2 linked regions of the Rhinolophus ferrumequinum genome follow. The protein of the gene in region 1 interacts with the protein of each later gene in a pairwise test. Links are inferred from orthologs where the notes say so. Each region holds a gene or a part of one and is shown in the gene's direction. Other genes may lie near its edges.

Region 1 (8,241 bases):
AGCACTGGCTTTCCAGTCCAAGTTCCCTGCAGTGCAGGGAGCCCCACCCCTGCCTTCCTGCCCCTGGGCCCCACTTACCCTTCCCCGCTGTGAAGCCCACCAAGACCAGCACACCTACAAGAATACGGGCCTTCATTTTGGAATATGGGGACAGGGGCAGCCCCTGAGGGGTGTCCTGAAACCCCACCTTCCTGTGACCGTGCTCTTTGATCCTGAGCTGCAGGCAGAGTCTGAGCCGGAGCTGCTGTGGGTAGCTGCATTCCTGCCTGGGGCAGGATTCGGGCTGCAGGAAGTTAACTTGACAGGAGGGACAGTGTGTCTTCACCCACAAGGTCTGGTTCCTGAACGTGGGAGCAGTGGCTGGGACAAGGGCAACACCTAGGCCCTCATCCAGCTACCTTTGTCCGGCATGCCTCCCCAACATCTGTTCCTGCCCCTCAAGGGCCCACGGATTAGCTTGTCTCTGGCACCATCTGCTGTTCTCCCCACACAGCAGGGCCAGTTCCTATCGTGTTGGGAGGAACTTGGGCCAGGAACTCAGTATCCCCATCCTTCTGAGCTGAGCATGTCTCAGTTTCCCCAGCAGGGGCCGCACAACACCATGGAACAGCAATTCTGGACCTCTTCCCTCCTTTCTCCACCCCTTATAATTGTTTTTGAACCCCTTTCCCTGTAAAACCAAAACCGAAAGATAGTGTTATTTCCCTTTACAGTATAAACAGACAGCCGTAAGCAGTCCCAAAAGAACAAGCATTTCTCTAGTCTTTGAAATCTCATTTTTCTCTGGGTCTTTTCCTTGTGACTGCACACCCGCATACCCAGTCCTAGGAATTCTGCTCTGCTACTAACACCATCACCCAAATCCACAGGGCACAAATCTGTGCTGGTTTTCAACTTGGGGAGGGTGGACTAGGCCATGAGGACCCCTGGCGTCCAGCACACCACTACCCTCCCTTCCCCAACCCCAAGCACCAGACCAGCTCATGGCCTTTTCTTCCACTTTATTTCATATTCCCACCACAATAATGGCTCCTTTAATTTAAACTAAAAACCATGGAGGGTTCCTGAAAGGGTGGCAGCAAAGGAATGGAGGTGTCAAAGACTGAGGACACTCAGGGACAGGTGGGAAGGGGATCAGCGAATCGTCTTGACTGGGCTCTTGAAGTTGCTGGCGGCTTGGAGCTGCAGCTGGTAGGCCATCGGATGGATCTTGAAACCGTAGAGCCTGGACCAGGGCAGAGGTCAAGAGGCAGCAGAGTGAGCCCCACGCGACCCTGCCAGCAGCCTGCATCCCTGCTCCCCACCCCAGCTCGTCCACGAGCCTGCTCAGTGCTGAAGGGTAGTGGTTCCCAAACTCCTCCCCTCCAGAATATTTGGGAATGTACCTTAAACATCCATTAAAACTCAAGTCTAGGCTATGTATGTATGTGCACAGATGTCTGTATCAGTACTTGTTTCAATGTAAAACTGAACTTTCCTTCCCCACGCCAGGGGAAAAACAATGCTCTAGGGAAGATAAGACACACCTGAAATGTGGCTCTGAGATGTCCTGGCCAAGGACGAACACCAAGACGGTGTAAGAACAGCCACTGTTTCAATGGTGCTTCAAGTGCCAAACGTTATCCTAAGCACTTCACATATTTAAAAATACCCTGCCAGGTAGGTACTATTATCACCCCCATTTTACAGATCTGGAGACTGAGGCGTAGGCAATCAAAGAACTTCCCCAGGGCAGGGTCCCTCAGCAGGGAGAGCCCTGGCTTTGGGAGAAGCAGAGCTCAAGAAAGGACCTTGCCCCCTCTTCCCTTCTCTATGGGGGGGTCTGGGCCTGTCCTGTGACCCCTGGTGATTCTGCCGTGCTCCCCACCTGGGCACAAACTGGTTGGCGGGCCGCTTGGGCCGGTATTCCGGGTGTACCATGAAGAGCATGTGAGGGAAACCAGTGCCAAAGTAGGCGCCGTCCGTGTGGTGGTGCCTCGATGACTTGGGTGTGTACACGTCCATGCACTTGGGGCAGTAGAGCTTCACCATGGCCTCACCTGGGATGTCTGACAGGCCTGGGAGATAGCCAGGCTCAGCACGCCAGGCTCTCCCACCTTGCCCAACCTCCTTTCCAGAGGACCTGCCATCTGCTGCCCTCCTTCCCCTTCTCCAACACTTACCGATGGGGAGCATTGGCTGGTTCTCACAGTACACACGGGGACAGTAGCCAAAGTCTCCCTGCTGGTATTTTTCCAACTGAGGTGAATAAAATGGAAAAGACTGGTGGGTAGGTGTGAAGAGAAGAGGCAATCCCCTCCTCTGCCCAATCCATATCACTCTGTGCCCCGTTCCTATCTCCTTCTGTCCAGAGGCCCCTTCTCTGGCCCAGACCGGCCATGTGACTCTCTGCTTCCTTTCCTCCACTTAGGCAGGCTGCAGACTATCAGAGCCATTTGCTGTTTGTTCCCCGAGAAAGAGACAGTCTCTAACAATTCTCTGTCCAAGGTTACGTTCCCCTCCCTGAAAACACCCCCTTCAGAACAACCCCCAATCAGGATTAAATTCCAGGCCCAGGTTCTGAGGTCATTGTCCTCTTCTCAGCTAGACTCCTTGACAAGGTTGAAACATGTGGTTTCTTGCTGCAGGAACCCCTGTTTCCCTTACTGCCTCAGGAATCAAGTAGGAGTAGAGAGGCCTCACCATCTGGGCGATGCCACGGTTGGTAAGGATATAGCGGGCGTGGATCAATCCATAAAGCATCTCGGCTGCCTGTTCAATCAGGTCACTCTGGTTGGGGTTGTCTTCCAGCTCTTCATCTGAAACAGGGCCCCGGCTGAATGCAACCACTCGTCTTACAGCTTTCTTGGGTGCCCTGCCCATCCCCGGGGGCTGCTGGCTACTCAGTTTTCAGTACACCCACCTTTGAGTCTCTCCCCACCTATCATGTGGGCACCTGACCCAGAAACCCGGGCCTCTGACGCTTCCACTAACCCAAGGTAGCTCTACCTTCTCTCCACACCTTCCCAGCCTCTGCTCTCTTCTCTCCTTCCCAATTCCCTCCTCAACACACAAATGCAAAGACATCAATGCAGAAGATGTAACTATAGCTGGAAAGTGCAAGGTAGGATAAAGAAGCGGAAAATGAGAACCCTGGGGAAATGCATTATGGAATATAGCTGAGTTATAGCATCAGAACGCGGGGACAAGTGGTATCAGTCACAAAACTAGGCAAGAATCAGGAGGGGCAATCAAAACGAAGTAGGGGATTTTGGGTTAAGGGAATCAGACAACAAAAAGGAAGTTTAGAAATTCAAGAAGCAGATGAATAGCGATATGAAGAGAAAAAAAGCACATACACACACAAAACAACCCTGAGGTGACTCACCAGGCTCCAGGTCCAAGATCATATCTAGAGCTTGTCGATAGTGAGGCACCTGCTCATTGAGCCCAGTGAGATTGAACTTGTCCTGGATGTAGTCTTCATCCACCTGTCAGGATGCAGAGGTCAAGAGGGAACCCATGGCACAGTCCTTGGCATTGACCTGAGCAAGTCGTTCTAACTGGTGCCTTATCCTCAAGACAGCTGCTTCTGTTCCCAACTCAGCAGAAGCACTTGAGTCTCTCTCCCCAGTTTACCTACACTGCCGTCCATAGAAGCTTTGGCTTTTCTTTTCTAAGGATAAGCATGTACAGCACTCCCTTCCTTAGAGAGGCTTCCCCTTCAAGATACCTGTCCCTACTCCTGCTCCTCCCTCTAGGAACCAGTTTTGTTCTCTCCTTAGGGGCAGATGGCGGAGAAAGGTAGGGGTTGAAAAGCATGGGTTCTGAAGGCAGTTACATCCCTTACGTTGAAACACATTATGTTAAATGCTACGAAACATTTTACAACGCGGCGTTTTAATTCTCCTACCAGTCCCCAGAAATAGATATTACCAATACCCCTCTAGTAATAAAACAGACAGACTAACTTGTGCAACGTTATACTGCTGGCGGGTGGCAGGGGTGGGAGTTGGGCCCCAGTCTTACTATTTCACCACAAATTAGTGGTGGGTTACTGAGGGCACTCTTCCTTGACAGGAAAACGTTTCTATGCAAGCATGCGAGACGAGTGCGCAGAAGCTGAATACGTGGGAGAATCTCTGGCCAGACTACATGTGGAGAAAGGTAGGGAGATTGAAGAGAACTCACTTCACAGAAGAATTCATTGCCACGGAGCCCACAGAACCAGGAAATCCAGGACACCTCCTCTGAGCTGCTCATCTTCACGTCAGCTGGAGAAAGAAGAGTGTAAGTGTAACCCACGTTCTCCCTCCCTGCCTCTGGTATCCTCCCTCCTCCCACACTTTGCTCTCCAACCACGGAAGAATTTGGGGCCACCTTTCCTTAAGGCGTCCCAGACTCTGGGACCTCGCCCCACATCCTCTTATTCACAGCTCAACCCCTTTTTTCTGAGATGAGAAATTCTTTGGGGTCCCGCCACTTGCGAGAAACCGACGGGTCTTGACCCACCAGTCCTACCCACGTCCCTGACGCTCCCAAAGGCCAGTCCCCTCTCTCCTTCACGTCAACTCTGGCCGTGCTCCCTCAGGTCTCTACATGTTCCGGGGCATTTCCCAAGCGTGCCGAAGTTTATTCCTTCCAAGCAAGAGATGGGCCCCTCTTTTCCTCATGGCCTGGGAGGGGGGGAGGTGGCCCTCAGCTCCCTTTCGCAGGAGTCCCCACATCCCTCCTCCGCCCCTCAGGCCACCTCTTCCTCCCTGGGTGCCGGACCAGGTCTCTTCCTTCTCCACCAAACACATCGAAGCGCGGAGACCCCCATGTGCCGTGCCCAGGGACAGGGCACTCAGCGCGGCGACGACCTCAGACTCACCGGCTGGACGGGGGCCAGGACCGGGGTGGGGGAGGGGAGTTGCTACTTCCAAGGAACGGCGACGACCGCTACAGCGCAGGCCGCGGACCGGATCGCGGCAGGCGAAGTGGGCAGGGGGGAGTGGAAATTGGAGAGGGTGGGGAAGAGGGCAACGCGCAAGCGCCAGGGGTCGGGCGCCGCGATGGACGCCGGGAGATAGAGTCTCTGATGGTGAGAAACTGGCGAAACGAGGGAAAGGCGAACTACGAATTCCAGGGTGACCTGCGCACGACCCTGGTGTCGCGAGGCCCCTGGGGAAGATGCTAGGGGCGGGGCGCAGCGAAGCTCCACCGGAAGCGGAAGCCCTGTACCGTGTCCTGGGCCAGAGAGCTTGAAAAATATAGTCGGGTGATCGCGGAACCCGGGGGTCGCGAGGGGGCGGGGTAAGGAACGAAGGTGGCTGGGTGATTTCCTGCCGCTCCCCTCACACAGCGAACGAGACTTCGGCCCCGGCGCGCCCCTGCTGGCCAGGGGACTGACTTCATCCCCAGGCAGCCCGTCGCCCGAACCAGACACGCCACTGGAGACCCCCGACGGGCCCCATGTTTCACCTGGGGGTCCGGCCGCCTGAGGCAGGAGGTGAGGCCGGCCTCCGTGCTGAGGGACCTGCGTAGGATGTGCTGGGCTGAGCGGAGCGGTGTGAGAGTCGGGTCGGCCCAGCGCTAACCTGAGGTGGTGCTAGCCATTATTCTGCTGCTCGTCCCCTTGCAGTTCTCCATTTCCTCTTAGGGCTTGAATGAGGCCTTCTGCTGCGGGCGCTAAGTGTGACCTTCGAACCCTGATTGGAGTAATGGTGAGGGGCAGCGTGACGTTATTTCACAGCTCTGGGCATTCCATAGATTTCCCTCCGCCTCCTCAGGGCCTTTTTTAACCCAGAGAGTGGTTTCCCAGCTCCAGAAAATGAGCTCAGAGCTGGGACCAAGTTGAGGGAGGCGAAGGGCATTGTGGGGCGTTATATAAAAGCAGGACCCCAACTGACAGATCCTCGGTCCTCGTGCTATGCTGGCACGTGGTACTTTGCGCGAATACTATTGGAAAGGTTGCAAGGCGGGAAACCTGGTGCTTTCTGTAAGCCTGTGCCCTCAAGTAAAAGTTTGGTTTTTTTCCACTCAGGCGTCTTCTAGTCGTCTGGCTACTTGATCTTGTGAACTGCTTTGCATAGAGGTGCCATTTTGCAGTACGAAAGCTACAAGACAACGCAGGTTGCAGCCTTCCCCCAAATGTGCTTCCTGCTTCCGGAGAAGTGTCAAGTCTGTTTTTGTTTGAGAAGATAATACCCAAAATAGGATCAAGGAAAGTCTAAAGGGCCAGACTGATTGTTTTTCTTAATGGTATGCCTTACAGAGCGGTAGTTTCAAAGAGATTACTTATTCTTTATTGTTGATGAGGTTGGGGGAGGGGGCTGAACGCAGGACCTCTGCGTAACTGTCCCATGGAGTCTTTGTTAAGCTTTACTAAAGGGCATGGTCTGTTATTGTAGGGTTCCGTGTTTCCACGTGATTTATCATCCTTAGGCCCTGTAGGGTCCTAGGTTGTGAGGTAACTTTTGGGGTGGGAGGGTTTTTGTTTGTTTGTTTTAATCTAAAGCTACTTTCCCTCATCCCAGCAGGTCTCTGGAGGTGGCTGTGGTCACTGCAGGGCCACCACGGGATTGGCTTGCATGTTTCATCTTCCCCTTGCCTAGTCTGATTTTCTCAGCTCTCCCACAGCCATGCCCAGGCCCTCCCTCATCACCTTCACCCCGGCCACCGACCCCAGCGACCTCTGGAAAGATGGGCAGCAGCAGGCACAGCCTGAAGAGCTGGAGCCTACCCTGGATGGGGCTGCAGCCCGGGCTTTCTATGAGGCTTTGATTGGGGAAGAGAGCAGTGCCCCTGAACCCCAGAGATCACAGCCTGAGCCTGCCAGTGAGAGAAAGCGGAAGAAGAGAAGAATGAGGAGGGAGGCTGCAGCAGGAGCAGCAGGAGGGCATGGACAAAGGAGATCTCTTGAAGCTGAGGACAGAATGACTCAGTGGATACTGAGGGCAGCCCAGGAGGGGAACCTGGCAGAACTAAGAAGGCTCTTGGATCCCCATGAGGAAGGGGGAGCTGGGGGGAATATCAATGCTCGGGATGCCTTCTGGTGGACCCCCCTGATGTGTGCTGCCCGAGCAGGCCAGGGAGCGGCTGTGCGCTATCTCTTAGAGCGAGGGGCTGCCTGGGTTGGGGTCTGCGAGCTGGGTGGCAGGGATGCTGCTCAGCTGGCCGAAGAAGCGGGCTTCCCTGAAGTGGCCCGCACCGTCAGAGAGAGCCACGGAGAGATGAGGAGTCCAGAGAACCGGTGAGGGGACGCCTGTGCCCATGTCCTTCTTTCAGTGTGTTCTGCCCTTCCTAGCCACTCCACACCAGAGGCCTCAGCACAGAGCTGAAGGGTTCTCCCCCATCCCCGTATAGGTTGACAGGGAAGGCAGTGTGCTAGAGTGGTTATGAACATGAGTTCTCTGGGATTAAATGCTAACTCTACTTGGGCAAGCAACCTAACGTCTATGTGCCTCAGTTTCCTCATCTGAGAAATGGGGAAAAGAGCACTTTTCTCAGGGTTGTTAGGATTAAATGCATTAATACATGTAAAGTGTTAGAACACTGCTTGCCATATAGTAAGCTTTATGGAAACATTAGCTATAGCCATTATTCCTTTTTTGCCCAAGAGCCTTATGAGGCCTAGTTACCATCTCTTCTCCCAACTATTCCCCTCTGGTCCTTCATTGCTAAGCGGGGCAGAAGGCAATTTTTTCCTTAGCAGAAAAACTGGAAGGACCCTGTCCAACCCTGCCCTCACCCTTTCTCTTCGTCCTCTGCAGGTCCCAGTCCTCCCCGCAGTACTGTGACACCTGTGATGCCCACTTCCAAGACTCTAACCATCACACATCTACTGCTCACCTGCTGTCACTGTCCCGGGATCGCCAGACCCCCAACCTGTCCCTTGGGATCCCCACATCCAGCCCAGGCTTCAAGCTACTGCTGAGGGGGGGTTGGGAGCCTGGAATGGGGCTGGGACCCCAGGGCAAGGGCCGTGTTATCCCCATCCCCACAGTCCTCAAGAGGGACCAGGAAGGATTAGGATACAGACCAGCACCTCAACCTCGAGTTACACACTTTCGGGCTCAGGATACCCGAGCAGTGGCTGGGAGGGAGAGAGTCCCTCAGGTGACTACACTGAGCCGGAGGGAGGAGAGAAGGCAGGAGGAGAAGGACAGAGCCTGGGAGCGGGATCTGAGGACATACATGAACCTTGAGTTCTGACCTTGGCAAGGTCTGACCCTGGTCTGCTGCTGAGGTCTGAACTTGAGCCTCTGACCTGTCCAGGTC
Region 2 (7,166 bases), on another chromosome or scaffold:
AAAATTGTCCCATAACAACAGAAATTGTGAGTGTCCTCAGGGGGTACAGCACTATCACAGCCTGATGAGGAGTCTGACTTGGAGCCAAACCAGGCCCTGAGCTGTTGGCAACTTTCTGGGGGCAGAAAATATATGGAGAGGATGGAGGGTGCATGAGGCCCTGCACCAGGGCTCTGAATGCCTGTGTGAGCGTGGCCAACTACCCAGCACAACCTAGACTGGGACTAGTCATGTCAGAGTGGAACAGGATAAAGGACTGAATGTGCACTAAAAGTGGGAAAAAGCCCCCGCAAGTGTTGACACAAGAAGCTGTTGCAGTGGGCAATGCAGAAAGGGAAGACAGGGTGAACACCAGAAAAACAGGTCTAATTGGAACGACAGGTTATTTGGAATGACAGGTGGAAATTCAGACTACAGGAGAGGTTAGAAGGTCTCCTGGAATTCTTGCTGAGTAGTTAATATGGAAGAGAAAGGAATGGGGGTGACATGGGGGTCTGTCCTTTAGGACTCCTAAAAGTAGTTTGAGGGCACACAGCAAGCAACTAGAAGTCTAGTAACTCAGGCCTTAAGTAAGGGGTGTGTGTGTGTGTGACCTCGTGGCCATGTCTATGACACTAGAGTCTCTTGAGAGAGTAGGCAGTTGGAACCCCTCTCCAGTCAAAGGCTCAAAAGATTTGAGGGTTCTTGTAAACTACCATGCCAATTTCTCTGTATAAGCATGGAGATGAGCAAAGAAGGGTGGCAAACCCCCATGAGAGGCAAACCTCCCTCCCAGGCTGATAAAATTTAGTCTAATATGTGACAGACAAAACCTGCAACAATACCAGTATTCTTAGCCTCTCAATATTTCTTACCCTCTAGGAAGGGACCCCTGTCATTGACAGCTGGGGCTCCTGACATCTGTGCAGATGAGGGGAAGGGGGGACAGAATCAAAGGAGCTGAAACAAGGAGTTTCTTCTTGTAGAAGAGAAAAAGGATCCATCCAAGAAGTGAAGGGGGGCAGGCAGTGAAAAAGCAAGGGCCATGCTTGAGAGAAAGTTTGGGGATGTTTGGGGAGAAAGGAGAGAGAATGGCAGACAGCTATGCCATAAAGAGAATGATGAGGGAAGAGAAGTTTAAGATGTCTTCCTCTATGCTAAACCCCTTTAGAGTTTTCCCAGAGATTATAATAAAAAATATAAATTGCTTTTTAATTCTATTTGGCTATTAGATATGTTTCTTTTGAATGTGATATCATGCCGAGATGGGCCACAAGGCAACTCAGCTTCATAAAAGTTGAATTTGGGGAGACATATCGGTGATTGTGGACTTAAGGATGAAACAGTTATTCTAGATCTAGAGGAACAGAGCAAGCGTCTTCACCATGACTGTTAGATTTATAATGCCAAAAGTATACCAGCTATATAGAGACTGGAGATAAACTACACAACAGCTAGAGAAAACTGGCAGAACTACTGAGAATCACAATTTTAGAGAGAATGTGACGTTTGGGACTAAGTGTACCTATGTGGAGACTTCTGTGTATGCAGCATGGACTCTATTCCCCTCCTTAGCCTATGAGACTGGAATGAAGGAACAGAACAGCTAGGTGATTCCCAGAAGACAGAGAAAGGCGGGAAGCAGAAGAAGAGTGTGCAGGGTTTCTTTTTTTCTTGCTATGTGGCATACTTTTTATATGTGAATACTCTAGTGACATGGCCAGAGTACCCATTCAGCCTCTTTTTCCTTGGGAATGGACCCACTCAACAAACGCCAGGGAATTGGAGTCCAGAGGGCTCAGCCCTGTATCCCAGCAAGATAACTGAGGCTCTACTTCACTCTCTGCATCTGTCCCCCTTACTTTCTGAGACTAAACCCTTCTCCTATTTTCCCTGTCTCATGTTCACATGGAATTCCTAAAATTATCTGGTTCTGAATCTGAGGCACCAATTGTTTCCTCCTTATGTTTTCAAGTTCTGCTACTTGTCCACTCCCCCACTTCCCACCACCCCTGGCTCTCAAATGTCTGACCTGGAGCTTGACTGGATCAGCCCCACCCCTTGATCTCTGCACTTGTTTCCCAGGGTCTTTCATGCTTCTCCAATAATTTCCCCTCCCTCTAGGCTCAGACCCCTGGCACTCTCAGTGGACTTCTGCCAGCACCTCTGGGAGCATGATGTAATCTTATGCTGAAAACCTTGACATACATGGTATCCCCAACAATAGTGGCAAAGGGCCTTGTATGATGGTATAATCCAGCTCCTACAATATGGGGGCTACATTTAATGTAAGGTGAAGGCTAAGAGGGAGGCCCTATACTGGGGACAGGGTCAGTCCTTGTAGATGGAAGCAAGAACTCACCTGAAGGGTGAAGGAGCCGACAAGTCCATGCCAAGTGTTGGTCAAGAAATGTGAAGCAACAGACCCAAGCAAAAAGACCTGCAAGTCACGACTGTCTTTTCTAGTTAGAGCAGAGTATAGATTTTTTTGGTAAAGTCAGCTGTGCTTAGGGAAGCCAAGGAAACGCATTTTTGTCTTCTCCTGAGCTTTCTGAATAACCTGTAGGGCACATGACAAAGGTGGGAGAGATAACCAAGGTGAGAGCGCCACAAGTTTGTGGAATGAGTAAGGAAGGAATGAGCAAGCAAACAGGATTAGATCATTTGTTTTAGAAAATACAATACCGTAGGGGTTTTAATTTGTTCATATATTTGTTTAGAAAATCAAATTTCTAATGGGTGCACAATACTTTATTATATCAGCAATGCCTTAAACACTCTGCTGTTTAGGGTATTTTCCCAATTATTTCTATTTTAATAGCAGTAAAACAGGCATAAGCCAAACAGTTCTTTAGTGCCCATAAGAGTTCCTCTGGGCCAGTCCTACTTTTCCTTACCAGAGTACACAACCAGGGAAACCTTGAACCACCAGGATACAAAACACTCCCTCATACCTAGCTCTTCCCCCATCCTGGAGTGATACAGTTCTTTTCTCCTCCCCAGATTTATTTCTTCTCGTGAACTTCATTTTTGGTTTCTGATCATTTGGCCTCTCCAATTGACTAAGGTTATATTAGTATGCTGCTACCCAGGTGCTGTTTACTTCTGAGTCTGAAGTCATCTGTAAATATGTGAAATCCCATTTTTCTTCCTCCTGCTCCCCTCCCACTTGGCCCCTTAAGTAGGGAAAGGAATTGTCACGAAGGTTGAGACACTCAGTGTAGGTCTGTACCTGGGCACCAGGCCTGAGGAGGGGCAGCTATCCTTACACACACTGTCACCCTTTCCACCTGTGAGCTGATGCACAGGGTTACTCAGAAATAACATTATAAATTATCCAGTCCAATCCTCTAACAGATCAGGAAAACGACTTATTTAAGGTCTCTGAGTTAATAAGTGGCAGATACAAAACTGAGTTCAGGTCTCCTAAAATCCACTATGTGTGGGCTGGAGGGTTACCGATGGGGGAACAAGACATAGGGTTCTTGTTCTTCATTCAACAAATGTATTGAGCACTTACTACGTGCCAGGCACTATTTTAGGTACTGGGGATTCCCTGATGGTGATGGAAGGCACGGAGGAGACAAAAATCTCTTCTCTTATGGAGCTGTCTTTTTCAAAACTTAAGTACTTTGCCTCATCATCCTGGAAAAATTCCCAGTGCCCTGGGTAGGAGTGGGTGGGTCTCATACGGGAGGGGGAATCTCATTCTTTCTCGGTTCCTGTGCTATATCTACACGCAGAGGGCTGATTTACTGCAGAAGCCGAATAGAGATGCGGAAACCTCCAGAGTGTCCTCCCCCCTACACCTCCAAGGCCGGCCGGGCCGGCTCCAGGGCGCCGCCGCGTCCCAGCTCGTCTAGGATGCTGTATCCTCTCTGCTTTCCTGCGGACCGCTGGAGGACAGAGAAGCAGAACTCGGCTCTAGCGCAATCCTCTGAAGAAGGACTGCGGGCAGATGAATATCCTTCCAAGGTAGTAGGCTCAGTGTGTAGCACCCAGACTAGGAGAGGGGATGACCTCTCCCGGACCTGGGGGTTTATGCAGCAAACTGCTCTCATGCTTCCCTAAGAAATATTGCAACCACACGCTCTTTCCAGCCTCAGCTGAGGCCACTGCAGCGTACCCTCCCCTCCCGCCCCACCCGCTCGCTCACACACCAGAGCCCCACTGCAGCTTCCCAGCCATCCTCCCTTTTCTTCTCCACTTCCTGGTTGCCATGGAGACACGTCATTTACGTACCGTGCGTCGCCTTGGAAACGGGAGCATCCGCGGCGCTGCTGGGAAGCCCGCCCCTGCCGCTCCTGTCACACTTGCAGGCGCTGCCAGTTAATGGCCGGGGGGGAGTCCCGAGCTGGACCTGCTGCTGGCCTTGGCCTCGACCCGGGTCCCTTCGCAAACGCTTCTGTGATCCAGGGAATCGGCGGGCACTTGCTGCTCGTGGCTCCGGGAGGGCGGCGCTGACACGAGCGCAATCCAGAAGGCGAGGCAGCAGGAGAGGGCACTTTCGCCCCGGGGCAAGCGGCAGAGACACCGGCCCTGGGACTCTCGTCGGGTCTTAGTCCCGCAGGCTCTTCCGGGCCTCCCCGGATCCTGCCGCACCCTCTGCCCGGGACTCGTCTCCTCACGTCGGCTCCCCGCCCCTCTCAGGAGCATCCCCTTCCCTCGGCTCCTCCCAGTCCCTCCCGGGACCTCGCCTCCTCCCCGCCCCTCCCCCACTCTGGAGGCCGGGCTGGACCGGACCCAGAGCGGCCACCGCCCGCTTCTGCCATTCAATGGAGGACGGTCTGCTGGAGATCATGACCAAGGACGGCGGCGAAATGCCGGCACCTCTGGAGGTGTCCACCGTGCCGGCGGTGGGGGACGTGATCTCCGGCGAGTACAACGGCGGCATGAAGGAACTCATGGAGCACCTGAAGGCCCAGCTGCAGGCCCTGTTTGAGGACGTGAGGGCGATGCGGGGGGCCCTGGACGAGCAGGCTTCGCACATCCAGGTGCTCTCGGACGACGTGTGCGCCAATCAGCGGGCCATCGTCTCCATGTGCCAGATTATGACCACGGCGCCCCGCCAGGGTGGCCTGGGCGTGGTCGGCAGCAAGGGGAGCTTTCCGGCAGCCCCGCAAGAACCAGAGACCCCTTCTCCTGGAATCGAGGACAGCGGTTTGCTGGGTCGAGATCCTGAGGACGAGGAAGACGACGATGAAGAGGACGAAAAGAAGATGCCCCGCTCCGCCACACCCACTAGTCACTGTGAGCGCCTTGAGAGCCCCCGTGCTGGTCTCCTTGGTGGGGCCGGGCCACTTGTGGAGCCCCTCGATCTGCCCGACATTACCCTGCTGCAGCTGGAGGGCGAGGCCTCCCTGTGAGGGGACTCCGAGGGGCACTACTTTCCCGGGCTGGCTTTGGGTTTCCGAGTGCATGACGCCAGCGGACTCAACAGCGCGGTGCAGCACGCTTCACTCCGATCGCTGCTCTTGTGGGTCAGGCAGAGAGAGACTCCCTGGAGGAAAGATCGATAGGGTGAAGGACTTTTTGGGAGCATCAAGAATTCTTTCTGCCTAACCATGCGAGACGTAGCAAACTGCGGAAAGGTGAGGTTCCCGGAGAGGAAGCGCCCATCTCTGGACTCTCCCATCCATCCTCTACCCTTCCTTTCCCCCTGCCCAGCCAACAGGAGAACCCCTGAATTGTGTAAATAAAATTCTGCTTTTTCTATTATGAAAAAGGACTTTTCTAGGACTATGGCAAATAGTCTCTAACGATTTACCTAGAAATTAAGGAATTGGGGTATTCTGTTCTGGCAACAGAAAATTTACCCTTCTGCTGAAATCCAAGATATTCAGCGCTCTACAGAAGCCTCTCCCCCTCACAGATCTCTGCGGCTGCTGATTGGTAAAGAAAGCTTGAGGAGGGAACTGCAGCCCTAGGAATCTGAGAGAATGGGGTTCCCAGGGCCCCCGGGCTGGGAGGAGCTGGCTGTGAATGTGCATGAAGACATAATAGGTCGACCTCTAGGATTTTGCATGCAGAACGGATCCTGCCTTGCCACTGACTTCATCTGGAATTGCTTTATCCACTCACTGGGGCTTAGAGAACAAAGAGCCCAGTTCACAGGCAGAGACTTGGGGTGCTCAGCAACAGCCCAGATTTAGGGGACATTTGAGGGACTCTTGGGAGCTGCAGCCAAAAACTGTCTCTCTCCTGGCTACACCCGCTTAACTTCAGTTCCTTTCCTGTCAATATGTCCCCTGCCTGCTGCCTCTCGGTGTTGCCTCCATGTCTTGTGTGTGTTACGTGTGTTGACTTGTGTAGTAGTGTGTGAGCCCTTAGGGGCAGGGCTTGTGGCTCTGGTGTTAGGTTCAGGGGGCTTCAGACCCTTCTGTGAGCCCCTGGCTATCATGGCGCTTTCCCCTCTCCTTTCCTCTTTTCCCCCACAACCAGGGCATGGAGCATGTGGCTGTCCTGAGGTTCTTAACTGATGTGCCTCCCTCCCATCTCCTCAATTGGTGACTTTGTGTGCCCTTCCTCCTCCTCTGTGTATTCCTTCTGAATGCTTTCCTTGGTATTAATCTTAATAAAGAGGTGTCATCTCCCCTCCTTGCTGACTGGTCCTAGGGCGATGTCAGTGTCGGGCTTCTGGGCCCGTTGCATGGACCAGGACTTAGAGGGAACCACAGGGACCATGCCTTCCCTCCTCTCTCCTTGCCTCCAGTTCCAAGGAGTTGACCATCCCTGCCCTGGTTTGGACAGTCCTTGCCAACTCTATCTGCTTTCCCTTCCATCCTGGACCTTGACTTCCAGCTGGACTGGGAAAAGAAAGGGTACGTGTTGAGACTCCCAAATTAACAAGGGTTTTTAGTAGCCAGAACTCCAGATGTACAAGAGACTTCTTTTCAAGTGAAGCACCTGGCCCCTGATACATGATTTCCAAATCTGAGTCCTGGAATGGCAGGCATGACACCTGTTTCCTGGGAGGTTTCCGGAGAGGGTATTGTTCGGGAGGTTTTGCCGGGGATCTCTGGGCAGAGTGACACATCATAAAGGAAACCGCAATAACTGCCTCAGGCCTCTAGTGGAGAATGCCGGTAAGGTGTTCCCCAGGGAGCTTAGACTGACATCAGCTGTAGTCAGCTCCCTTGGGCGTTGGAGATTTCCCAAGGCTATCCCAAACAAAATTTGGGAGAAGA

The links.
Region 2: the proteins of GPANK1 (region 1) and CCDC184 interact in binary tests that used the Homo sapiens proteins (3 or more experiments, as listed by UniProt). The two-hybrid records come from large-scale screens. The link is inferred for Rhinolophus ferrumequinum from reciprocal best matches to the Homo sapiens genes GPANK1 and CCDC184.

The regions. Positions count from the first base shown.
Region 1 is NC_046286.1:2,157,789-2,166,029, reverse strand, and holds the start of GPANK1 (G patch domain and ankyrin repeat-containing protein 1), read left to right. Parts: upstream 1-5,176; 5' UTR 5,177-5,470; exon of another isoform or gene 5,471-5,684; intron 5,685-6,004; 5' UTR 6,005-6,222; intron 6,223-6,497; exon of another isoform or gene 6,498-6,500; 5' UTR 6,501-6,602; coding exon 6,603-7,213; intron 7,214-7,733; coding exon 7,734-8,175; 3' UTR 8,176-8,241. Other genes in the region: LY6G5B (lymphocyte antigen 6 complex locus protein G5b), read right to left, coding at 188-260; CSNK2B (casein kinase II subunit beta), read right to left, coding at 1,135-1,225, 1,868-2,057, 2,163-2,238, 2,683-2,798, 3,368-3,470, 4,171-4,242.
Region 2 is NC_046293.1:49,614,538-49,621,703, forward strand, and holds CCDC184 (coiled-coil domain-containing protein 184), read left to right. Parts: upstream 1-4,224; 5' UTR 4,225-4,754; coding exon 4,755-5,345; 3' UTR 5,346-6,576; downstream 6,577-7,166.